Linked DNA regions of Astyanax mexicanus. The protein of the gene in region 2 purifies or fractionates together with the protein of the main gene of each other region. This does not show direct contact. Links are inferred from orthologs where the notes say so. Each region holds a gene or a part of one and is shown on either strand. Other genes may lie near its edges.

Region 1 (13,259 bases), on a different chromosome or scaffold from region 2:
ACAAAGTTTGGATAAACAACACAAACTAGATACTGCACCTTCCATATACATTTCTTCCCTCCCCAGTTATTCTGTGTAATACATTATATATCATATATTGTAATACATTATAATACATGATATATATTTATTTTTTACTCATAATTTTCCTGTCCAGCTGTTTCACTTCTCCAAAGGCCATAGATTTGCACCCATTAAGTGGCCTCTTTCCGTTGTAATAAGGCATTTAAATACGACCCATTGGAAGGCAGGTATCAATATGGACTTAGGCTCATCCAAAACAAAAATGATAAATCATAACTTCTTTTGATATTTAATGAATGTAAAAACATTTTTGTTTGGCAGAGAGCATTCCTGTGACAATTTGCCAAAAAAGAGAAAGAAACAAACAAAAGAGACGCAACATATCAGCGTCCCTCTTTCAGTTTCTAACAAACAAACACAAGCACTCTAAACTTGCCAAATAGTGGCCACAATGTAAAAACAAGACAAAAGGGGAAACAAATACAAATTCATTTCTTTCGCAGCTTTTTTTCTTCTTCACATGTTAACTAATTAAAAGAGCAAACGGCCAACATTAGAGAAACATCTGGCTAGATAACGCTACTCCAGCAGGGTTACTGTGCAAAGCTCTACTGGATACAGCAGTTGTTGCGATGGCCATTCGAGTCTTTGAATCGAAGACGCATCTTTGGACGATACTTCTCCAAGTAGAAGAGCTGCTTGCTGTTAAAAGCTCCACGACGCTTCCTGGGAAAGTTAAAAAAAAAAAAAAAAAAATACACACTGTCTTAATCTCCAAAAGATAAACTACTGCACTACTGTGGTAAAGGCTAAATCATTTAGTTATACAGCAGATAAATTGACAGATTCCAAACAATAAATCATGAAAAATATGAGGTGCTTTGCAGGCTGTTAATAAGTTTTTAATAAAAAACAATTATTTGCTTTAGGTGGTAAAAATATAATCACTTACTGGCGAATAAACTGAACAGCGTCTTCGTACTTCATTCCACACTCAATCAAAGCAAGAGCAACCAGGACCGGGGCTCTAAGAAAAGAAAAACACACAGAGCACATAAAAGATTTGTCAAACAAAACTTGTTACTGTCCCTGCACTGAAGATATGGCAACAAAACCACCAACTGCCTTATCTATAAATACAGAAAATAAACTGTCCAAGGCCAAAACGGTTAGCTGTGTTCTTGTTACAGCCTTGAAATTTCAATGCAGATACGAAAATAAAAACAATACAAATACATAAAAAATACATTAACAAAAAAACTGATCCATACGTCAATATAAAAAAAAAATGGTAAAAGATTCAAGACCTATATACTCCTATAAAACAAAAGAAAATCTAAATACAAAATCTGCCAGTAAGGTAAGCAATTTTCTTTTACATTGTTTTCCCTACATACATTTTCTTCAGCCTTAAGGTAAGACTTGAATCAAGTACAAATGTTTTATGTCTTAAATTTGGACACAAGAATCAGAGTAAACTGACTGGTGACTTTTTGCTCTTGTTTTGATCTTAAACTACACGGAGAAGGGAACAAACATAGATTTATTGATTCGAAATGAGATCATTTAACTTGTGAAGATTTCGTTTTTTGCAGTTACAATAAAAAAGCCACTTCTTTTTTTTTTACAAGAAAGAAACTCTTGAGAAACCTCACCTTCCAAGGCCAGCTACACAGTGGACTGCAACACAGCAGCCTGGCTCCTCCCTGAACTTAATCCTCAACAGATTTAGCCAGTCATCAACAATCTGGTTAGAAGGAGGAGCTCCATCATCAAATGGCCAATCCTGCAAGTTTTGAGAGATATTTTAGTCTGTGCACTTTAAGATGGTTATGTTTTTATGTAAAACTTTCTTCACATTATGTAACTCACCAGAACCTGAATGCCCTCTTTGGCCACCAGGTTGGCATCATAAGTTGCTTCACACACTCTGACGACTGTTGTCACACCATACTTCTTCAGTTCCTGTTAAAGAAAAAATCCGGTTAATCATTTCAGAAAAAAAAAGGAATTTTCTAATGGATTCTCTGTTTTTAGAGATTATAGATTATATTTTCCTACACTATTCCTAAAAAGGGTAATAAGTTTAACAGTATTTCAACTAAAAAAAGATTTGGGAGATATTCCCTCTAATCCCCAAGGCTACATAACACTCATGTCTATGGGTTGAATTTAAGAGAAACCAAAACCTTAGCCTATGTCTAAACTTTTAATTTTTAACACAGTTGTATATGAAGTATATAGAGTATATAAAGTCAAGTTGCACAATATATAAATGCTCACCTCAATGAATTTATTCAGAGTGGCATTGGTGGGGTTGTGAGTGATGAGGAACCTCATGTTTTTATAGGTGATCTCCACCGGGGCAGGTCTATTCATACGAGCCATTGTTGAATGGAAAAAATAATTCAAAATGTACTAAAACTTCACTGACCCAAAAAATTAATTTCTGCCACAGAGAGTCAGAAAGAAAATGTGAGGATGGCGTAAACAACAAATTCTGGGATGGCGTAAACAACAAATTCTGGGAATGAAAAAAGGGGGGAAAGAATTTTACATAAAAAATAAATAAATAAAAAAAAAGGCTGGTCCTCAGGTGAGCGAGGAGACGGAGGGCCAACGAGGGCAGTGCACTTCTGCAGATTTTTTACCCCATCCAGACCGATCTGGCTGCTGTGGACGCCCGCTCTCCGTGTCCGATCCCGCCAACCTTAAAACACTCACACAAGTCTCTCTTCCAGTGAGGTAGCAGGGCTCGCCGTTCACTTGTCTGCATATACGCCGTGCTGAGCCTGGCAGTAGTCTCCACTGCCCTTCAGAAACTCCATAAATGTGTGACCCAATACACCACAGAACTGCTGTAAAGACAAAACAGAAAGATGGAGGGTCAGAGAAAAGCAGGTAAACAATAGGGCTGCAATAATTAGTTAACATAATCCACAATGTTGATCATATAAAATTGCTAGTGGGAGACGGGAATTTGCCGCACTCACAAAGTTTACACTCAACTTGGTCTGTCTCTCCAAAAGTGCCCAAACACAACAGAAAACATATTTACTTACTAAATATCAGTACTTTACACATTTAAAGTAGAGATTCACAATGATATCGGAATTATAACGGTATAAAACAGTAGTTGCTGTTTGATAAGCGATAAAAGAAAAGGACCAAGCGACACTGACCGCACTTATATGAATGGCAGCTACTATCTGTGCTACTTTAATTCATAAGAGCCGAGACCCATTTCTAAATATTGATACCAAAATCTAATTCAGAGAGCAGCTCATGTTTTTTTCTTACTGTGAAAAAATGACTGTAAATATTTGAGGGTTATAGTCTATATAGATGTAACAAGTGAATATAATTTCATAATCTGGATTTTAACGTTTTGTTCTAGAAATCATGCCACAACCAATTATATGGAATGGAATGCAATGTACATTTAGTTAAATCGTTGATTGGAAAAGAGCTGTAGAAAAATATAATTTTTAAAGAAGATACTTTTATCTCACGTATCTTACGTACATCCTGCTAATAAGGTCAAATAAATGAACAAACATTCATATACTGTCCTTTGACAAAGTCAGGTCATACAGTATGTCACTTGAGGACTTCATGATTTAAAGTCAAGGACAAAGGAACAAACTTTTCACAACTTTTAAAGTTATGTCACCATAGGCACTTTTGCGTTAAAGGTAATTTTTTATTATTTTTATTAGATTATTTAAATTTATTGTTAAAAAATATTGTTTAAAGCTGTGATTGGTTAATGTAAGATGTTAGCTGAATAAACATTTAATGGCAAAATATATATACACACACACATATATATATATTATATTTATAACTTACACATTTATAGACTACACACCCTGGTTCAGAAATTCAGAAACAAATGTAACATTTGCTTTATATTTTACCTCTCAAGGAACTGTATGCAAACAATAAAATGAGCGGTGTCTCCTGAGATATATATATATATATATATATATATATATATATATATATATATATATATATACACACACACACACACATATACATATATATATATATATATATATATATATATATATATATATATATATATATATAAAATCTAATCTATCTAATCTAAAAAAATTATAATCATGTTAGTTGCCTACTGAAATAATCAGTAGTTGCAGCCATAGATAATAAGTACAGTGGTAGTAGCACAGGTACATCATTATGCTGGTATCCCTGCTGATGCCCATCACAGAGACTCTGCAGTGGAGCAGAGCTTTATTTTATACTCATAAAACAATGTAACACAACCCAAGGTTGATTTATTTACATTTAAAGAGAGAAGGTTAACCCTACTGACTGAAACTTGACTGATTTTATTTGGATTTTACTTTCCTTATTATTTATAAGGAGATGCTGGGCTAGCTGAAGAGTTTCTGTATTTCACTAAACTAACTAGCTTATGGGCAGAGACAATAAACTAGCTTATTAACCTACCTGTGAGCTAAGATACCTAACTACTAGATTAGCTAACGTTAATTGAATTAGACAGAGACCAGAGCTCAGTTTAGCTAAGCTTCCCCACAAAGAAAGCGGCGCACACATATAGAAGCCGTGAAAAGAATGTGCTAGCCTAGCCAACCAGGTGTTCTGTCGAGTTGTGCTCCTCGTCAAATCGTGCTTCCCCAGTGTGTTTTAAAGGTAAAATTGGCAACGAAAAAAGAAGCACGCTCCCAACAGACATCTTGATAACATATTTAAGGACTTTGATGAGTTAGAATCGTGGATAGAGTGCTGTACGCAACTTTCCACATTTTTTCACATCTTTTAAATGGTCTGTGACACGTAACTACATCACCATAAGCTTTTTTGTTGGCTCGTAAGAAAAATTTAAGGCGCATGCGCAGTACTGTTAAGACGCACATATTGATGTGTAACACAATTCAACATAACACCGGCTGTGCAACTACGACCCACCTAACGCTAGCTAAATATGTTATATATGCGGCAAATGGCTAGGCTAAGTTAGAATGATATGCTAGTTAGCTTTAGCTTGAAATAGCTAGCTAGCTAACAACCTGTCGGGCCTCCTGCTGTTGTTATCCTAGTTAGCTAGCTAACGTTAACTAATCTTCTTAAAATACTTTATTTAGTATTTTATAAGAAATCTTTATTTATTAATATTTATTTTCGATTTTTTGTAAACCAGAATAAATTAATGGTATCCACAGAATAACGACGAAACCCGTCGTTTTAAGGTTAGCTAACGCTAGCTAGCTAACTTGCTTGCTGGCTAAAGCACAAAGCTCGCTTGACTGTTAAGTTAACTGTTAAATTAATTAAACTACAATTCCATGGTTTTAAAAAAGAACATATAGACTCATTAACTAATAAAAATTAGGTCACTGTGATTTAGAAGGACGTATCCAGCTATAATCCAGGTTAAAACAGATTATGAAGGACTAATGTCTATTTTAAAGATGGGAATTTTAATCCAGAAAGTACCACACGTAAAAATCCGCACCGGGATTTTGTTCCAACCGTCAGGGCGGCTCTGCTGCAGAACAGCTGCAGCATTGCCGCACTGGCGGCTGTAACAAAATCCAGGACTGGATTAATAAACTTTAGGATCCAGACTACCCGCCTCTACATCCAGCGCTACCAGGCTAAAACAATGACCTCGATTCGACAACAATCTCGCCAAACCCCATAAAGACAATCTTAAAACAGAGCCACGCGCGTATAAAACAAAAGCCCCGCTTTAAATATGAGATTTGTGTACTTACTGGAATATGTTTACTCATTGAAGATTGTAGTTTAACCATAAAGCCGGTCCCGAGAAAGCGGTGAAATCTCTGAATTGTTTTTTACCATACAGCCGCAGCGCGCGCCCTGTCTCATCCGCGACTCCGTCTCTGCCTCAACCGGTTCCAGCCTGCCTGCCTGGCGCGCGCTCGCTCGCTCGCTCGCTCTCCACACAGTAACCGCGCCCTGGATCATCAGCAGGAGGAGGAGGGGGGACGGGTCTCTCAGAACCGGGTCAGCCCGCCGCTGCTGTTGTTCTCTCCCTCCCCGCGCGGTGATGCCATATCAGACCAGGTCGGTGTAACGTTTAGCAGTTTAATTTTCTGACTGTATCAAAGCTAAATTTCAAATGAAGAAGAAATGGGTTTTGGTCAGTGTAACTTTAATTAATTACATTTTCTGACTGTTTGAGGTTAAATTCAAAAATAGAACACTGGATGTAAAAACTTATGATTTCCTTTTTTAAAGTAGTGCAATGTACAAGAAATAAGTTTTCTTCCTTTTTATTTTTTTATCTTGCATTTTGCAAGTTGGATTATACCATCAGATTTGTGTAACGAGATACAAAAATGGACAAATAAAAAAAAGAGAGAACATTCAACTCTTCAGTTTTCTTTAAATTCTGTTTGTGAAAGGCTGAAATTAAATACTCGACAATTAAAAAAATTATGAAAACACATTTGTTCTTCATTTCAAATTTAGCTTGATACAGTCAAAAATTAAACTACAAAACGTTACACTGACTGGTTTTCATCCAGTTTTTTAATTATCAAGTTTTTCATTTCAGCCTTTCGCAAACAAAAATGAAAAGTTGAATGATCTCTCAATTTTCAGATTTGTCCACTTTTTTGTTTGTTTTTTTTGCCGCTGTAATTTTTAAACGTAGCTAAAAAAAACACACCCCGCCACCCCTGAATTTTCACCCACAACCGGATTTTCAAACAAGCCCAATTTGGAGGGAAAACCGTGAACTCTGCAGACATCTCAAGTTGCGAAAATAAATTTCAGGGAGATACCCCCGGACTTAGCTTAAAAATCGCTATTACAAACTGTACAGTGGGCAAGACTTTCATTGTTTTTTACTTTTACCAGACATGGATATACTTTAGAGTAGTCAGAGGTGAAATGAGTTTAGATGGGAGCCATGATGCTCCTTCTTTTACTCACTAAGTGCATCCCGTCCAGAAGGGGAAAGAAACACAGCCCACTCACAATAAATATTAATGGGCTGACTCACAGACTCTTTGTAGAGAACAGGCCAGTCAGAACCCTCTCTGTTTTGCATGCACTTTATGAATATGTAGATGAGGGCAGCACCTTACTCTCCTGCTCTCTTTCTTTCCCACACTCGAGTCTATGGCAGGGCACGATTTCTGCAAAGCAACGGATGCAACACTCCTGTGAACAGTTCTGCATTACGTTCATTGGTTACACAAGTCTCCTGAAGACTGCCTGTGTACCGTGTATTCCTGCATGCGTTTACACAAACCTTTAATGGCTAATTCTGAATGAGACTGACACTGGTAAGAATAGAGCTGGTGAGATCTCTTTATGTGAGAGTAATTTGGCGCCAAAAACTTTATGAACATGTTTTGTACTGCCCATAGACCTATTATAACTTAATATATAATATTAATATATAATATAATAATATTTCCCCTTCAAACTTTGAGCATATGAGCATTCAGCATTTAAACTTTGGGTGAGTAATGGTTTAAAGCAGATGAAGTGTTTAAGGAAGGCATATTTATGTTTTTTTAAGCAATAAGGGTGAGAGCATGACATGCCTCGATCACTCTTCATGGTTTTGCTAGATGGAATTTTGCCTCTTTTCATCACTCCCACATAAAATATAGTGATTTATTAAATTAAAGTCTCTGAAAATATTTTTTTTACACATAAGCTGCATTTACAATATGGGAATATTATGCATATGAAGCCTGTATTATAGATAATGGAGAATATTTGTGGTGAATATTGTTTTTTTCTTCTCTTTGTTTTAAAAAACATCTTTCTAGAAATTGGTCGGGCTGTGTTTAGAGGTCTGTGTAAAAAAGCTGATCTCAGCATAGTTTTCAATGGTGCTATCCTGTACAATAGACCAGTGAACAGCCTGGGCCGCTCTCAGCATCAGCCAATCAGAGGAGGAGTGTGTTTCAGTCACAGGTTGTTAGTTGTGTAAACCATTTTACTGTGGGTGCACTGGGAGGAACTGGGGGTGGGGGGGCAGAGGGAATGTTCCAAATGGTCAGCATTGTACCGGCGGCCTATAAATGATGTGCTTGGCCATAGCTCTTGTTTCAACTTGGAGCTCACAAAATCTGAAACCACCGGCTCAAAGAAACTGGAGACACGATGCAAAAATCAGATGGACCGAAAGAGAAAGTACAGTCTTCAGATTTCTCTACAAAAATATCAAATGTATAACATATATATTTTGAGTGTTTGTAATCCATTATGTATAAAAAAGGGGAATGTCATCTTGGTGCGACTCTCAGAATTGGATTTGCTCGTTTATAACTATGAATATTTTTTGTTTATGTTTATATATAGGAAATGGCATCTACAGATTCAGACCAAGTGGACGGAGGGAACATGAGCCACAGCAGTAAGAAGGGGGTAAAGGTTAGCGGTAAACATGTAGCTTCTTCAGACTGGGACAGAAGGGGGACTCCTGTGCCCATCGTCCAGACAAATTTTTACACTCCAAGTCCTGCTGAAAACCCCACAGTCATTTCTATTGGCCCACACTGTCAGCCCACTGTCACCAGCGAGCCCCAGAACCAGGATTTCACCAGTAATGATGACTGGGGTGGAGAAGACCTCCGGGGACATCCACCCTTCACAGAACAAGGTGTATCTAGACAGACAGTGGAAGAACTGAAGAATATATTACGTGAGAGCTCCATGCTGAGGGACGACGGCCGCCCGGTCAGTCCCCACAGCCACACGCCTGGACAGAGGGTGGACTGCAGACCAGACGACATACCATCCAAGTCCTTTACAACCTTCAAACCAATTCTTGCAGGGAGCAGAAGAGCCTCGAGACCAAGAGATGGTGCTTCTTCTGGCTGGGATTCTAGTGGGTCATCCAGGACCGACGGTCATACAAGCAGGACAACTGGTTACAGGACACCCTCCAGTGATAGAGCCCACTCCTCCGACACGTGGTCATCACAGACAGGTGAGTGTGCCTCTACTGTTCCTCTACTGATGGAGAAATCTGAAAGATTTTGGTGTCCCTCTTATTTATTTTTAATGATGTTTATTTTTATGCGTTCTACAGATAACAGGGACAGTTCTCATACAGAATCTCACGGATCTCAGAATTTCCTTTACGAGCTTGATCTGATTAAGCAGCAGATTTCTCGAGAGAATGTTGGCTTTGTTCGCTTTGAAGCAACAGATCTTCACGGTGTGTCCAGATCCAAGATGGTCCCCGCTCGCTACTTTCATGTAAATATCTCCTGCTTAATTGCTAAATGTAGGGTGACTGAATCAAATGTGCATTAATGAAAGAAACTTATGCTTAGATTTATTTTTGAAATATTTATGATATACAGTGCTATGAGTATTTGCTACGTTAACGTCAGTGTTAATGATTCAATAATAAAAAAGAGAGACTGCAAAAATGGTATCCGTGGAAAAGTTCCAAGGCAAAAACCACTGCTGACCAAAAAAAAAAACATGAAGGCCCATCTCAAATCTTGATGATCCCCAGGACTTATACTGTGAATTTTCGACAAAAAAGTGGAACTTCTTGGAAGGTATTTCCCCTGTTACATCTGGTGTAAAATTATCACATAATTTAGGGAAAAGATCTTTATAATGAAGGTCAAACATGGTGGTGGTAGCATGATGGTCTAGGGCTTCTTTGCTGCTACACAACCTGGATTTGCTGTAATTGAACCATATTTTCTGCTCTTTACCAAAAGTTCAGTCATACCTGCAAGTCCACCTCTAAATGGCTCAAAAAACCTAAGTGAAGGTTTTGGTTGTCAAAGTCTGATTGAGAAGCTGTGGCAGGATCTTAAACAGGCCTTTCTTGCGCAAAACCCCCCAATGTGGCTGAATGAAAACAATTCTGCAAAGAAGAGTGGGCTAAAAAGACTTATTGCCAGTTATTTAAAACGCTTGATTACAGTTGTTTCAGCCAAGGGTGGCTCAACCAATTTATTAGGTTTTGGGGCAAATCATTTTCCACACAGGGCCAGGTTGGTTAAATAGAATTGAATAGAATTCTTCGTAAATTCAATTATCATTTAAAAACTGCTTTTTATATATACTCAGGTTATCTTTGTCTAATAATAAATGTATTTGTTAATCTGAAAAATATAAGTATGATAAAAATCTAAAAAGAAATCTGTAGGGTGCAAATAATTTTTCACAGCACTGTAAATAACTTCACAACTTTAGGATGCTTTTGCATGTTGATAATTCTGTTATTTGTATTACAGGAAAAAGCTGTGTATGGTGTACCCATGCCCAGAAGCTACCTGGAACTGACACTGAGCCCAAAAGACAACGAGGTCGATCATCCATCTGCTGCCAATTTCAGCAGTGACGTTCTTCTGGTGCCTGATCTCTCCACCTTCCGGGTCCTTCCCTGGTCTGAACAGACCGCTCGTGTAATTTGCGATCCCTGCACCGTTACAGGCGTTCCACTGCGCACCTCTCCTCGCCTTATCGCTAAACTAATGCTCGGTCAGCTTCAGAGCATGGGGTTCTCCCTCCATTCCTCCTTCACCTACGAGTGCTGCATATTAGGAGCGCCGGAGCGACTCGGACCCAAGGTTGTGTTCTTTCCCGCTACCACTCTGTTGAGCAATCATGATCTGCCCTTTCTACAGCAGCTGGTGAGAGCCATGTACCACATGGGCGCTGATGTGGACAACTTTGCATCTGCCAGCGGACCGGGACAGATGGAGATCTGCTTCAAGCCGAAGTTTGGAATCGAAGCGGCCGACAGTGCTTTCACATTCCGAACTGGAATCAAAGAGATGGCCAGGAAGCATAACTACATCGTCACATTCCTCACCGACGAGACTCTCAACAACTTGGGACAGCTGTCCCACAGCTTATGGGACGCCAATGGAAGGAAAAGTCTTTTCCACTCGAGCACTGGGGAGCTGTCCGACATTGGCAAGAAATGGCTTGGTGGGCTTCTTCACCACTCGCCAGCATTGAGTTGCCTACTGGCACCGGGGATCGGCTGCCGCAGTCAGCTCTCTAAAGGCAGAGACTCTAAACACCCGTTGTACGCCACATGCGGCTGCAACGACAACAGCTGTTCCTTTAACGTGAAGATCCATGGTGGGCGGGAAATGCACATCGATAACAGGCTTGGCTCAGCTATGGCAAACCCATACATAGTTCTGGCTGCCACAATAGCAGCTGGACTGGATGGCATAAAGCGTAACCTCAGCATAGAACAGGGTCTCAACCGAGCTCCAAACCAACAGAAACAGGTTGTGATCCCAGTTAAACTGGAGGATGCTTTAGAAGCCCTTGCAGAAGATGCTGTGATCCGTGGGTCACTTGGTGAGCCTTTTATTCAGTACTTCATCGCCATGAAGCGCCTTGAGATTGAGACACAGGAGCTTGATACAGACAGAAACAAAGGCTTGGAATATTTCATCTAGATAAAAATATAATCTGATGAATGTTTAGATTCACAGACTGAGATCTTTTCACGTAGAGAAGAGCAAGAATAACAGGCACTCGTTTTTTTTTATCCCAACAATAATATTTGAAGATACATTAAGTAACAAGCTCTGTTTAAGAGAAATAAAAGCTTGTGATGATTTAAATGGAAAATCTGTGTTTTGTGCATTGTTATGTTGTTGAGAAAAATCTAAAATCTGTAAAAAGACACAAAAAGACAATCAAAATCCAGCCGAGAGAAGCTGAACAAGTTTTTATTTGGCAACACGAAGCAACATGAAAAGACAGGACAGGATAAGACGGCTAATGATGCCACTTGTAAAGATAATGTCTGTTTTAGTAAACAGCACCTGTTAGTTTCAACTTCATAACCTTTATATTTTTTAGCTTTTAGCGAGTAACATATAAGAACACAAACGAGCGAGATACGCTGGCCATTTGTCTTGTGGGTCAAGACCAGGTTTTTAGTTCTAAGCTCACCAAAGGATCTACTGTACTTAAAAACCCATTAAGCATGTATATAAATATACATGCAAAAACGCATAACTGCAAATGTCAGTGGGTTAATAAGTAAGAGATCATTTGTTTGATAAACTAATGTAAATATATATTTGCAGTATATATCAGTGAAACGTGAAACAACATGGGCAGCAAAAGCATTGTGTTTATTTCTTAGTTGGGGTTGGGGACCTCATGAATCTGGGTGGGGTGGGGGACTTGGCACTCCTGGGTGGGGTTGGGGATTTTGGAGCTGGGGTCGGAGCCTTTACGGATGGAGGTGGAGTAGGGGTTGGAGACTTAACAGAGGGGGGTGGAGTGGGAGTGGCGGGCTTCATGGATGGTGCAGGAGTTTGGGGTTTGGAGGGTGGTGCAGGTGACTTGGGTGCTGCGGCTGATCTAGACATCTGTCCCAGTTTGGGTTCGGGAATCTCCTCGCCCTGCTTGTAGACGCTGACGGTGATCTCTACAAACTCTCCGCCATATTTGTTCCGCACGTTGATGCTGTACTTGCCAGAGTCTTCCACAGTGACTGAATTGATGGTCAGGCTGGAAAACTTGCCACTCTCGAAGGTGATCTTGTTGTGTGCATCGGACACGACTTCCTGCTCGTTCTTGAACCAGGTGACTTCAGGCTGGGGGTCACCCCACACTGTACAGGTCAAACTGAGGGTCTGTAAAAATTACAGGTGTTAAGGTTAAAAACCTGATTAAAGGATGTGCCTTTTAAAATTACAGATAGAATGTCAACCAATAAGAATGCAGAAGTAAATTATAGAGTTCTGTTCAACTAGTCCAACCTGCAGCACATCACTCTAAAAGTATCCAGTGAGAGGACAGCGGCACTATCCAGTAAGACTGGGCAATAATTATGTTTTGCACTATAAGGTGCATTTAAAATCCTTTAATTTTCCCCAAAAATCGACAATGCAGCATTTAATCCAGTATGCCTTGTATAAATTGTATAAATTGTACCAGTCAGGTTGTAAGGAACAGTTAAGCCACTCTGCTGAAGTACAGCGTTATACAGGAGTTTCACTAGCACTAAGCAGCATTAGCCACAAGCCACAGTGCTAGCTCATCTTCCTTTCAGAGGTGAGTATATCAGACTGTAGCCTGTGTTTACTATGTTAAAACAAGCGATGTGGGACAAACCTGCGCTTTCGGGCAGCATTTACTAGCATTACTAACTGCAGCTAGCACTGCTGCTAACCACAGCTAGCGCTGCTGCTAACTGTGGCTAGCACTGCTGCTAACCGTGCTTTTGAAAATATTAAAAATCG
Region 2 (12,287 bases):
TGTAATAAATGTTTCAGACGGATTAGTTTCTCTTTCTCGTTTTCTGTCTTTCACAGACGTATTCGGCTTCTGCCAGAGTGTCTGTATGTTAGTTTATAAAGAATGAACCAGTTTTTCTTGTAGAACTGTTTAGAACTAAAGGTCGGAAAGCAGGTTGCAGTTCTCGCGAGCGTTGGTCGCAGCCGCCTCCGGAAAACTTACAGAGTCTGGTTTGAGCTCAGAGGAGCTCCGGCACAGACATGAGAGCACCGCTATTCCTCCTATTACACCTCAATGCAGCGCTGCAGTGAGGTTTGGATCCCCTGGTTTATACGTACCTTGATGAGCTGCAGGTCGGTGAGGGCTCGGACTGTGTAGTCAGGACAGTAGCTGGACGGGCTGGTGGCATCTCCCAGCTCAAAGGGGTCTCTGGGAGAGCGCCGCTGTGTGGACACTGGGGACTGATGCACTGTATTAACACAAGATCAGTTCCCCAACATAAACAACTACAGGTGGGCACATCCTTACATCTTTATACCTTTTCAATCAGTGTTTCTATTAATATTATGTATTCCTACACAGTAAATAAAATAGTAAAGTGATCTATGAGATTATGAAGGAACACATAATGAATCATGTAGTAACTTAAAAACAGTGATAAACAAACTAAAATACTCTGTGAAGTATTTAGATACTCTTATCTGAGGAGCTGTTTGTTAACTTGTGGTTTCTGAGGCTGGAAACTCTGATAAATTTATCCTGTACAACAGAGGAAACACTCACTCTTTTAACCTTTACTGGGACGGTCCTGATGAGTGCCAGTTTCACCATTATAATGTTTTTAATGGTCTTTGCTCAAACATTACTCTAATAGAGCTATTCACTGTATACCTGTAACTCTACCTCTTCAAACCTATTATCTCTTGACGAGTTCAGCACAGCTGTTAACTGTATAATGTAAAATATAAAACATTCTGGTTTGTAACACTTTTTTTATTTACTAAATAATTGAATATGCTTTTATTCAGTTATTCTCTTTACCTGGCAGTGGTATAGAGTACGTACCTGAGGAGGGAGCTGTGAGAGCTGATACACCGTAATAAGTAAAAGCTCCATTCTCAAACTTCAGACCTTCTTTACCAATCTCCACCTCCACACGACCCTACACACACACACACACACACACACGCACACACTTTATTGTGTGTTATTGCACAGACAGCGTGAGACAGTAGAGAACACACACTGCAGTGGAAAGATCTGGAATGTGTTTGACTGGACTATATTATCAGCTCTGAGTTTAGAGCAGATAAACAGATCTGCATTAAAATACATCATTATCACCTTACAAAATAAATAAATAAATTTGATTTGATTTATGTTTGAGTAAAATGAACATTGTTGTTTTATTCTATAAACTACAGACAACATTTCTCCCAAATTCCAAATAAAAATATTCTCATTTAGAGCATTTATTTACAGAAAATGAGAAATGACTGAAATAACAAAAAAGATGCAGAGCTTTCAGACCTCAAATAATGCAAAGAAAACAAGTTCATATTCATAAAGTTTGTATAGAGGTTGTATAAAATACATTTACTCTGAGCACTAAACTTCAGTTACTGAAAACAACAGCAGATTTCTGAGAACTCTGAGGCGTTTCATCATCCTGTTAAAGTAACTCAACAACCCTCAGAGGCCGAGGTCCTGCTAACCTCCTGCTGGAGCTGCGACCTGAGACGACATGCTGGTACAAGTTTAACAACTCAAACATTTCAGCAGAGTGAACAAACCCCTCTGCTTCTGCTTCAACTACATGATTTCACACCAAACACACTGCACTACTATACACACTATTACACACACTGCTATAGACCTGTATCATTTGGGTATCGGTACTGAATTTAATTTTAAAACAATACCCAGCCCCAGAAGCTAATTCTGACGTTTTGTTCCTATACTGTAAAATAACTCAGGTGGGTAATTATGGCGGGTCTACCTGCAGCAGTAGGATGAAGTAATCCACAGGGTGGTTCCGGGTGTAGAGGTAATGATCTGGACTCAGACGGTTGTTTGGGTCAAACTTCACCTCCTGGTTGACGCTCGGGTGCCGCAGGAGATGAAATAAGACTTTCTCTGAAACTCGCTGTGGACTGAAATGCTCCACCTCTGTAACAGAGAGGAAAAAACAGGATTATTAATAATCATAACTGTGTTTTTATTACTCATAAACTGCAGGAGAAACGCAGATCTGTGTTTCTGTATTCTGTAAGAGTCTAAACTGCAATTCTGAACTGATAAGAGCTAAAGATAAGAACACTGAGGAGCTGCAGGATTACTCAACCTGTTCTTTATAGACTGCTTATTACTAAACATGGTGTGCCATATTATGCGTGCCATACTGCATTATAATGTGCATTATCAACAAACATCTGTTTTCTGATCTATTTTTTTATACATAAGACACACTGGATTATAAGGTGCATTTCAAGTGGCACTAGTAAGGAACATGGGTGTAACCATGCTTCCCTTCTAATTCAGCAAAAAACATTTATGTGTGTATGTAAAGTGCTTCCTTTTATTTACAGCAAGCTTACATTTCCAATATATAACAGTGCAGTTAGCAGCAGCGCTAGCCATGGTTCGCAGTGCTTAGCGCTAGTTAATGCCACCCAAAAGTGCTACAATGAGAAACTACAATGCGTAAACATGCAGACTACAGTCTACTAAACTCATCTCTGTACAGCGAAAGAGCTAGCACTATGGTTAGCGGCTAATGCTAATACTGTTCCAGCCTTAGTGCTGGAGAAACTTCACTGAAAACTCACCCTTATAACGCTGTACTAAGATATTAAGAGCATCTTAAAGTGTGAAAAATACAGCACATAACCTCCACATATTTCAGTTAAATATAATGAAATTTGTAAAAATATGAAAATCATTGTTATGTAAGAGAGTTCTTTACAAGTTTTCAGAAGTAAATCTAGTCTATTTACTAAGATTCACTCTGCAGCTTCTGTATGTAAAGTAATTCAATTAATCTATTCAATTAAATTAATATTCCAGCTGAAGCTCAGTGTTTCCACACCTCTGGAGAGGAAGCGGTGTGTGGCCAGCAGGAGCTGAGGAGACGTGCGGATCTTGGGTTCTCCTTCCGGTGGTTTAAAGAGCGAGAACTCCTCCTGACTCGAGCGAGGCTCCAGAGGAATCTCCAGCGCGGCGGCGGGACGCTTCACCTTCATATTCACTGCAGGACATGAAGACACTCCATCAGAGAAACACTCTACACACCATCTCTCCACACCACCACACACTGACCCAACAAACTCACGCTTTATTCAGTGCTTTATGACTACACACTGAGATGTACAGTTTATCAGTTCAACAACGGCATTGGATATACATCATTGTTTTTTCAATATTGCTCAGCCACATAGCTTTACAACACAAATCAGATTTTTGCAGGCAGTAGATGTGCTCTGTTCTAAGCTTCACATGTACAGGTTATACTTACTGTAGCCATCAGACTCATCCAGGATCTCAGACTTTATGATCTCCTCTATAACGTCCTCCAGAGTAATCAGTCCCAGAACCTCGTAGAACGGGTCTCCCTCCCCCTCATTATTCACCCTCTGCACTATAGCCAGGTGAGAGTTTCCTAGAAAAAAAGAAATAAAACTAAATTACAGCCAACAGTGTTTTTTTTCATTATTTATGTCAAATGTTTGTGGACACTCCTGCTAATAAATGCAATATTCAACTATTTTTGTGTGTGTGAGTGTGTGTTTCTATGCATGAAGTGATTTCCGCCCAACACAAGTACGATACACTGCCTGGCCAAAGAAAAAGTTTCCAACAACAAAAAAAATTCTAATATTTAGCTGAACCATCTTTATCTTTGATTGTGTGACTTTGCATTCACTGTAGCATTGTTTCAATAAGCTTCTGCAACGTCACAAGATTTATTTATTTCAATCCAGTTTTGCATTAATTTTTTTATCTGTGCAGTCTGACCACTGCACAAAGCAGCTCTTCTCCATCCAGCACATCCCAAAGATTCTCAATGAGGTTAAGATCTGGACTCTGTGGTGAACTCTCTCTCAATCCATGTGTGAAAATGATGATCTCATGCTCCCTGAACCCTGAACTCTTTCACAATTCCAGCACCATCAATCCTGATATTATTCATCTTGGAATATGAAGAAAAATTAATGGAAGAACCTGATGGTTTCCATTGATGGAAGAAGAACCTGGTCTATATTCAGTATATTCCTTTGCTGAACCTAAACCTGCAGACAAACTGCAGCATCAGGTCCAGATTATTTACTTATTTTTGGACAGGCAGTGTATTTATTACATTTGTGTTGTGTTATCTTGCCATGTTTTGTTTTGTTTTGTCTGGTCATCATCAAAATCTCCAACATCTCAAACTACCTCAGTAATCTTTACTGAATGCAACACCACACAACCCCAGGTATCCAAACACTTCTGCACACCTGTGGTTGGTCCCACCGCCTCACCTTTCTTGAACTCCTCCAGCATGGCGTCCAGCTTGGTGTCGTTGAAGACGAAGTGCAGCGGGTGGTTGTAGAACTTGGTGATGGTGGTCATGGGGGTGCAGTCCTCCGGGTCCACCAGGGCCAGGTCCTTCACGTACAGGATCTCCACGATGTTGGAGCGCTCCTCCTCGTAGACGGGCACGCGCGTGTATCCGCTCTGCATGATCTCGGACATGGTTCCGAAGTCCAGCTGGGCGGTGGAGGGCAGCATGAAGCAGTCCTTCAGCGGGGTCAGGATGTCCTCCACGGTCTTGCTCCTCAGCGCGCCGCGCCGGAACTCCTCCTTCACGAACTCGCTGTACGGGTCGTTGACGTTGGAGCGGACCATCTCCATCACCTTCTCGCGCACGCCGCACGTGCTGACGTCGCGCCGCAGCGCCACGTCCAGGAGCACGCCGAGCGGACAGGTGAGCGGGCAGGTGAGCGCCAGGCACACCTGACCCAGCCAGATCAGACCGGGGGCGAGGTGGAAGCCGTAGCCCGAGCTGATGATGTGCGGGAGCAGCTCGGCCAGGAGGAACAGCAGGGCTCCACACGTGAAGACCGCGGGCAGGATGGAGCCGAAGGCCCGGTAGAGGAGCACGCCGAGCGCGGAGTGACCCAGCGCGGTCAGGAGGAGCAGCGAGCACACCAGGAAGTTACCGCGTCTCCGGAGCGGCTCCAGGCGCTTGGCCGCCCGCCTCTCGTCCTCCGCGCCGCAGCTGTGGAGCACGTAGAGCTCGAGGGGGTCGAGACAGAGCAGACTGAGGCTTAAACTGCGAATCAGAGCACAAATAAACACCAAGGCTGCTATAATTACCGATAAAGCCCAGGTAGGGATCCAGTCTGGGGGTAGCTTTGGCTCAGGCTTTAGCTCTGGCTCCGGCGCCTTCAGCTGGAATCTATCCGCCCCCAGCGACTCCCAACCCGGCCCGCTCAGCACACACAGCCGGTGCAGAGCGCCCGCGCTGGAGGCGTCCCCCTCCGCGGTGCGGACCTCCAGCACACCGCTGCTGTCTTCATCCGCGGAGAACTCCCCCTCCACACGGAATATAGAAGAGTTCCTCAGGATCTCCTGCCTGCATGGGTCCTCCTCCTGTTCCTTTACTGGACCGGGACTGGAACTAGGACCATCAGAACCAGAGGCACCAGCAGCAGCAGGAGCAGCAGGAGGAGGAGGTGGTCCAGGTTGGGAGTTGAAGTTCTCCACTCCCGCCTCCCGAGCGAACGCGAGCCACGGCCAGCTTGCATTGTTATTACTATTATTATTAATAACATTATTATTTTTAACCAGAAACAGCAGCTCAGATCCAAACAGCCTCAGCCTGAATCCAGACCCCGGAGCAGCGAACAGAACTCGCCCGCGCATGTACACCCGCCTGCCGGCCTCCTCCTGCAGCTGCCCCCCCTGCTGCACCTCCAGCACCTCCTCCAGCCGCAGACCCACCAGCCTCTGGGCGCTGCCCCCCAGCAGCAGCGGGATCAGGAGAAGCAGCAGCAGCGGGAGCAGCGACCGCCGCACGACCACCATATTGGATTCGGGCAGCTCGCCTCTCCGCCCCGCCGATCATGTGACCCCCGCCCGCCTACCGTCACCCTCCTACCGCCGCGGAAAACAGCGGCAGAAACGTCCTCACCGGCGGAGCCATGGCGAAACACGGGGCGGGGAAAAACACGATAATAATACACCGATTCCTCCTCCAGCGGCTCGGGGACTCCTAACCCCCGGTACGGCGGCGGCCCGCTCTCCGCAACCCCAACAACAACAACCGGGGCTCCTCAACTCTCCGCTTCTCGGGCGGATCTACGTCGAATGCTTCACCCGACCAATCAGATTACAGCATTGTTAGCCACCAATTGGAAAAAGGAACGACACAAGAAAACCCCGCCCCGTTTGAGCGTGTCGAGTCAGGTCAGAGTGAAATATAAACACTGTATATTCAAAATTCAATATATATTTTTATTGTCACTAGTGTGCAAATGAAAATATTTACAACATAGAGTAGAATAATAAAATAATATAATACACAGTATACACACAATACACACCAAAGTCATATTGATATATGGTATTGTACTGTAGATATATATTTTAATGTTACTGGATATAAAACAATACAATGCTATATAGATGCGCTGATATCTGTGTGTGTGGAAGTGCAGAGATAGTCCAGTATGTGACAGAGTAATAATGAATAAAGTGCAGAACTGCAGGAACAGAATGAGTTGTGTAACCTAACTTAATCCAGCAACACTGTTCGTACATTTAACCTCAACCATCACATTGTAAAATATTTCACCCGACCACTGCAGACTACTGGTATTTTAACCTCTGCATCACTCTAAAATACATTATTAATGGCTCACAATTATGTTTAAGTTTTATGTACAGTGATCGGTTGCAACAGTGTTATGGAAGCAAAAACAAATAGCCATTAGTTTCTCTGACTGGAATTTATCTACAGGAAAGCATTTAGTGATTGCTGATAGATTTTCTTGTGTTGGTTATTGGACTAAAATGGAATTTAATGTTTAATATAAGAATCACTTGTTCACCATTCCCAAGGTGGCCCCTATTGAAAAGTTTGGAGACCCTTGTCTTACATCTATAATGCTTTTTAATTTTGTCGGGGAAAAAATCATTATCAATACGTTCAATTATCATTAGTATTAGTCTGAATTAATTTTTATATGAGGCTGGACTTTTTATTAGTCAGAAATACTAGTTCTCTATTTTGTCCCAATACTTTATCTTTTCCAAATATCACAGTTTTGAAAATTCTCTCTCTCTGATATGGTGACAGGTTGCTTGCTAAGGTGTTGCCATGGTATGCCTGTTGGTTGCTTTGGTATGGATGTTGGTTGTTAAGATATTGCCAGGTGGTTACTATGTTATTACATTGTTTGCAAGGTATTGCTATGTGGTTGATAAGGTGTTGTCATACAGTAGCTGTTGGTTAATGAAAGCTTTTATTGGCTGGTTTCCTTATTAAAAACTTTTGTAGCTTTAAACAAGATCTAATACATACACAATAAATACACTGAGAACTGTATTTTTTTTTATAGAGAAATAGATCTCTCAGATTTATTGTCATATTTCATCAGAACTCCTCCAGTATTTATTATAAAACACTATGTACACATTGCTTTAAATAGAACAACCGAAGATACCTGGAGGTACAGTACATTTGCTCGTTACACTCTTCTTCCCTTAACAGAGAAACACAGATCATATATTAATAAATCAAATAATCGAACTCTGTAATAGACATAGATAAAAAAAAAATTAAAGAAGAAGAAAGCCACTTCAAATCTAACCCTCAGAAAAAATAAAACGTACATGTTTCAGGGAGAAAAAAAAAAGAAGAAGAAAAAAAAAAAAAGAGTATCCAGATGAATAAATCATCATTAGCATTGTCCATAAAACTATAACTGAAATATCTTTATTTTGTCAAAGAAAAAAAAAAAACGTAAAGGGTTGCTGTGGTAAATTCATTTTTTAGCAAGTGCATGGAAGACAAGTGTGTTCCTTAGCAATAGTGTGGTTCCTCAGTGGCCAGGAGGGCTGTACTATATGTGCTGTTTGGTGGACGACAAGCCCTTAGCTTTTCTACGAGCTTTTCTACGAGCTAATGTACGACACGCAAACGAGCGTGAGCACAAACAACGAGTAAATCAATTACGCACAGAGGAAAATTCTCCCACATTCATAATCGTTAACCTCCACTGTTCACTAATCATCAAACCGAGAACCGTCCTGCTCCGAGTTACAACTCAACTCTTAACTCAACTCTCAACTCAACTCTTAACTCAACTCAATTTAAGTCTCAACTCTTAACTCTCTGGTGAGTGTGGGAGTGAAACCCTGGCTCTGGAACAGCGGCAGTGCGAATTAGAGCAGATTAGCAGACTGGACCCCGAGCCCGAAGGAATTTCATTAGTTCTGAGCCACGGGAGCCCCTCCCTCCTCCACGTAAACCCAGCCAGGGGGCGGAGCCTCCGTCGTCACGGCGCAGGACGGAGGAGATACAGATCAAAGTGCAAAAGGCTTTGGCCGAAGTGTTTCTGAACTATCTGATACGAGGCGCGGTAACTTTGGTCGTCTTGAGTTTGAGCAGAAATGCATGGTCACAAACCCCCCCTTCCCACCCATCACTCAAAATCTGGACACACCCCCTTCACAACCCCACCAATCAACAATGACTTTTCTTTATTATGATTTTTTTATTTTCCACATCATAGATTAATATTAAAAACATCGGAACTAACTATAAATGATCAAACCTGTTAATTATGAAATAAAAAGAGTACGGAAAGCACCTTCATATTTTTATATGAATTTGCTAAGGTTTTGCTATGGTATTGGTTGCTAAATTGTTGCTAGGTGGTTGCTAAGATATTGCTATAGTATATTGTATTGATATTTTTTTGCTACGGGGTTGCTGAGGTGTTTCTCTGGCAATGATTGCTAAACTGTTGCTGTAGTGTTGATGTTGGTTGCTTGGTGTTTGCTAAGGTGTTGCTATGGTATAAGTGTTGATTACTGTGTTGTTGCTTGGCAGTCAGTTGGTAAGGCATTACTACTAAGTGGTAGCTAAAGTGTTGCTATTGTATAGCTTTGGTTGCTAAGGTGTTGCTAGGAGGATGGTTTGTTATAATCTGTTTGTTTACTGTTTACTACATAATTCATTGTTATTATGTCTTCAGTATTAATCTACAATACAGAAAATAAACATTGAATGAGAAGGGGAGGTGTGCCCAAACTTTTGACTGGTTCAAACCTGAAAGTAAATTCTTGAACACATGCAAACTCAACTGAGGTAACATCTGAACCCGGTCCTTTCCTTGTACAACATTGTTAATTAACCCCTGTAATAATAATAATAATAATAATAATAATAATAATAATAATAATAATAATAATAATAATAATAACTATCGTAACTATTGCTTCTCTTTTAAACCTCTCATAAAGGCAACATAATATTTATAAATAACTGGTATATAAACTATATAAAGACTGGACTGCTGTCCACCGTTACACTGACCAACAACACAAACAAACGGAAAATGGTCAACATAAAATAAAACGTCGCTCACTGTTCATTAGAGCGATTCTTAGCTGATCATGGTGTTTAACTCGCACACATCGCTGGAGAAAACTAGCGTACAGAGTATAAACTGGGGAATTTATTATTATTACTCAGAACTACAGCATGTAGACGATCCTAAATAATCAATACTGAATATTGATTTGATTAACAGGATAAAGGTGCTTTGCCACTGCATGATACCTACACTACTCAACTTAACTCTAACTTAGAGTCTTATTTCACTCTTATTGCACTGTACTCAACTATTCAACTCTACTCTTATTTCACTTTTATTTGATTCAATTTGACTTTTTTAATTTAAATTAACTCAACTCTAATTTGATTTCACTTTACTAGACTCAAACTTGACTTTTGTTTGATTGACCTCGATTCCTATGTGATTCAACTAAACTCCAATTTGACTTATTTTATTTAACTCAACTAATTTTTGACTTTATTAGACTTAAACTTGACTTTTGTTTGATTTAACTTGACTTATATTTGACTTTTATTTGAGTCGACTCAAATTTAGTTTGATTAAATTGTACTATTATTTGACTTTTCGCGACTCGAATTTAACACAGACTGACTCTGATTCCACACTAGTTTGACTGAACTCAACCCTTATTTCACTCTACTTTGTTCACATGAAATATAGGTTCTTTTGTTGGTTCTTTGGTTTACGGAACCTTTCACACCTGCTACTTTGGTTTGGACCAGAGTAAAAAAAAAGTCTAAAAGGAATAAATAAAGTGTAAAAGCATCCGAACGGAAAGTAAAGAAGCTGAATTGAGTTGAGTCGGGTCATGCAGTGTTATAGTATCATGCAGTGGAGGAGAAGCACCGTCTGCTGTGGGAACGAAAGAGAAACTAATGGGGTCATGGTGTTTAACTAAGCTAAAGCTACACACACACACACACACACACTACTGTGTTCTAGTGCAATAAAAAGGGAAATTGAAGCTTTACTGTAATTGATGAGCATCTCCAGCTTCTGATCTGGTGTTGGGGAAGAACGCTACAGGCTGAATTCAGTTCACAGTGGATTCTGTCTCGGCACCAGTAAAGCTACGGCTGGATCACAGGTCTGGAATGTTTTCTTAGTTCTGAACGCCAAGTTATTCTTCTGCATCAAATCAAGACACAGCCACTGTGATTGGTCCAACACACCTAAACACTTAAAACAGCGTAAAGCTACTTGCGCGGGCGATGTCGTAAACTCTGAGTTGACTCCACGCAGAAGAATAAATCGACTCTAATCGTCCCATTTCACTAATAATGACCAAAAATCTCACAAACGTCTTTATAACTGACAATAACATGGTAAAACTATGATTACAGATGTGCTACTGATGCAGTTATATGCTGGAAAGGACTGTGGCTGGTTACCACATCTCTTACTGGACCAATTTCGGCCAATCGTAGCCTCTTATATCTGACGAGGCCGTGTCCACACGTATCCGAATATCTTTTAAAATGATTTTGCTCCAATGAAAGAAAAGCGATTGCATTAGCATGCCAGGCCTTGAGGGGGCGCTAATAGTAATAGCAAATCAGGTAGTTACAGATTCTAAGTGTTCTAAAACAGTATTTTCATTTATTAATATATGTAAATCTGGAATCTAGTGTATTTCTGTGTGTAGACACTGTAGTTTTATTACTTATTTAGTTCACTATATAGGGAGTGAGGAGATTTTTGGGATTCAGCCATAATAAATGTGTATGTTTTGTGATGTTAGCTCTTTTAATAAAGCAACTTCATGAAAACAGTGTTTAAAAGTGTTTAAAAATGCATCGGTTTTAAAAAGCCAATAAATTAGCTATTTTTGTGTGAACTAGAGGCCAAAACACAGACAAAAGCTTTAAAATTTTTTAACATTAATTTTTTTTAAATCCGTGTGGATACGTGTGGAGGAGGCCTTAAATAAACAAAAAACAAAAACAAAAACAAAAAACATACCAAACATACCAAACATACATACATATGCATCTGAACTGAATTTAATTTAGGCAACAATAAAAAATAAATATGGATAAATATTTATATATTTATATAATTTATTTCTATTGCATATATATTTATATTTTTATATAGTATATGATCTACCTAGTGTCTATGTTCTGGGGTTGGATCTCCTCTGCTCGAAGGCTGAAAGTCACTGAATATTGTGAATATTCTGAATAATAAAAATCTCTAAAAGTACCGTCTATTATTTAAACTACGTCAAACCACTTCCTGTTCTTAAAGCTATTTGCATAATAATAAAACAACAACAACAACATCGTCGAAGAGAATGTCCCTCATTTTATCAGGTACCGCTAACATACAGATCCCGAACTGTAGCGCGATAAACCCAAGAGCCTCGGCTCGTATTACAGCTGCGTCCGAACTCCAGCCAATGCACCAATATACCGCGCAATATATTTATATATAAATATATATATATACACGCTACGATATCGGTATAACTACGATAAACTCTACGAAAAAGACGAATCACATAAAAACTCTCTCAATCTCTTTCTATATAACAAATATTGATTGTGCCCAATGGGGCACCATGTTCCCAGCGCCCTCACTGCGTACACTATACGGCCAAAAGTGATGGGACACCTGTCTAGAGAAGACTAGATTTATGGAAGAAGTCTCGCCCATCAATAAAAACAGCCAATCAGC

Evidence for each region.
Region 1: the proteins of metal transporter CNNM3 (region 2) and ptp4a1 purify together in Homo sapiens (affinity purification with mass spectrometry; 6 studies listed by BioGRID and IntAct, with this or other methods). This does not show direct contact. The link is inferred for Astyanax mexicanus from reciprocal best matches to the Homo sapiens genes CNNM3 and PTP4A1.

Annotation. Positions count from the first base shown.
Region 1 is NC_064423.1:12,464,274-12,477,532, forward strand, and holds the start of ptp4a1 (protein tyrosine phosphatase type IVA 1), read right to left. Parts: upstream 5,969-13,259; 5' UTR 5,796-5,968; intron 2,883-5,795; 5' UTR 2,413-2,882; coding exon 2,308-2,412; intron 1,990-2,307; coding exon 1,897-1,989; intron 1,811-1,896; coding exon 1,680-1,810; intron 1,052-1,679; coding exon 977-1,051; intron 751-976; coding exon 633-750; 3' UTR 1-632. Other genes in the region: lgsn (lengsin), read left to right, coding at 8,170-8,199, 8,368-8,998, 9,101-9,270, 10,272-11,456; myom2a (myomesin-2), read right to left, coding at 12,144-12,650. UniProt on the Homo sapiens protein: Protein tyrosine phosphatase which stimulates progression from G1 into S phase during mitosis. May play a role in the development and maintenance of differentiating epithelial tissues.
Region 2 is NC_064427.1:526,075-538,361, reverse strand, and holds the start of metal transporter CNNM3, read right to left. Parts: upstream 6,340-12,287; 5' UTR 6,049-6,339; coding exon 4,500-6,048; intron 3,638-4,499; coding exon 3,494-3,637; intron 3,227-3,493; coding exon 3,068-3,226; intron 2,149-3,067; coding exon 1,979-2,148; intron 1,142-1,978; coding exon 1,045-1,141; intron 449-1,044; coding exon 318-448; intron 1-317. UniProt on the Homo sapiens protein: Probable metal transporter.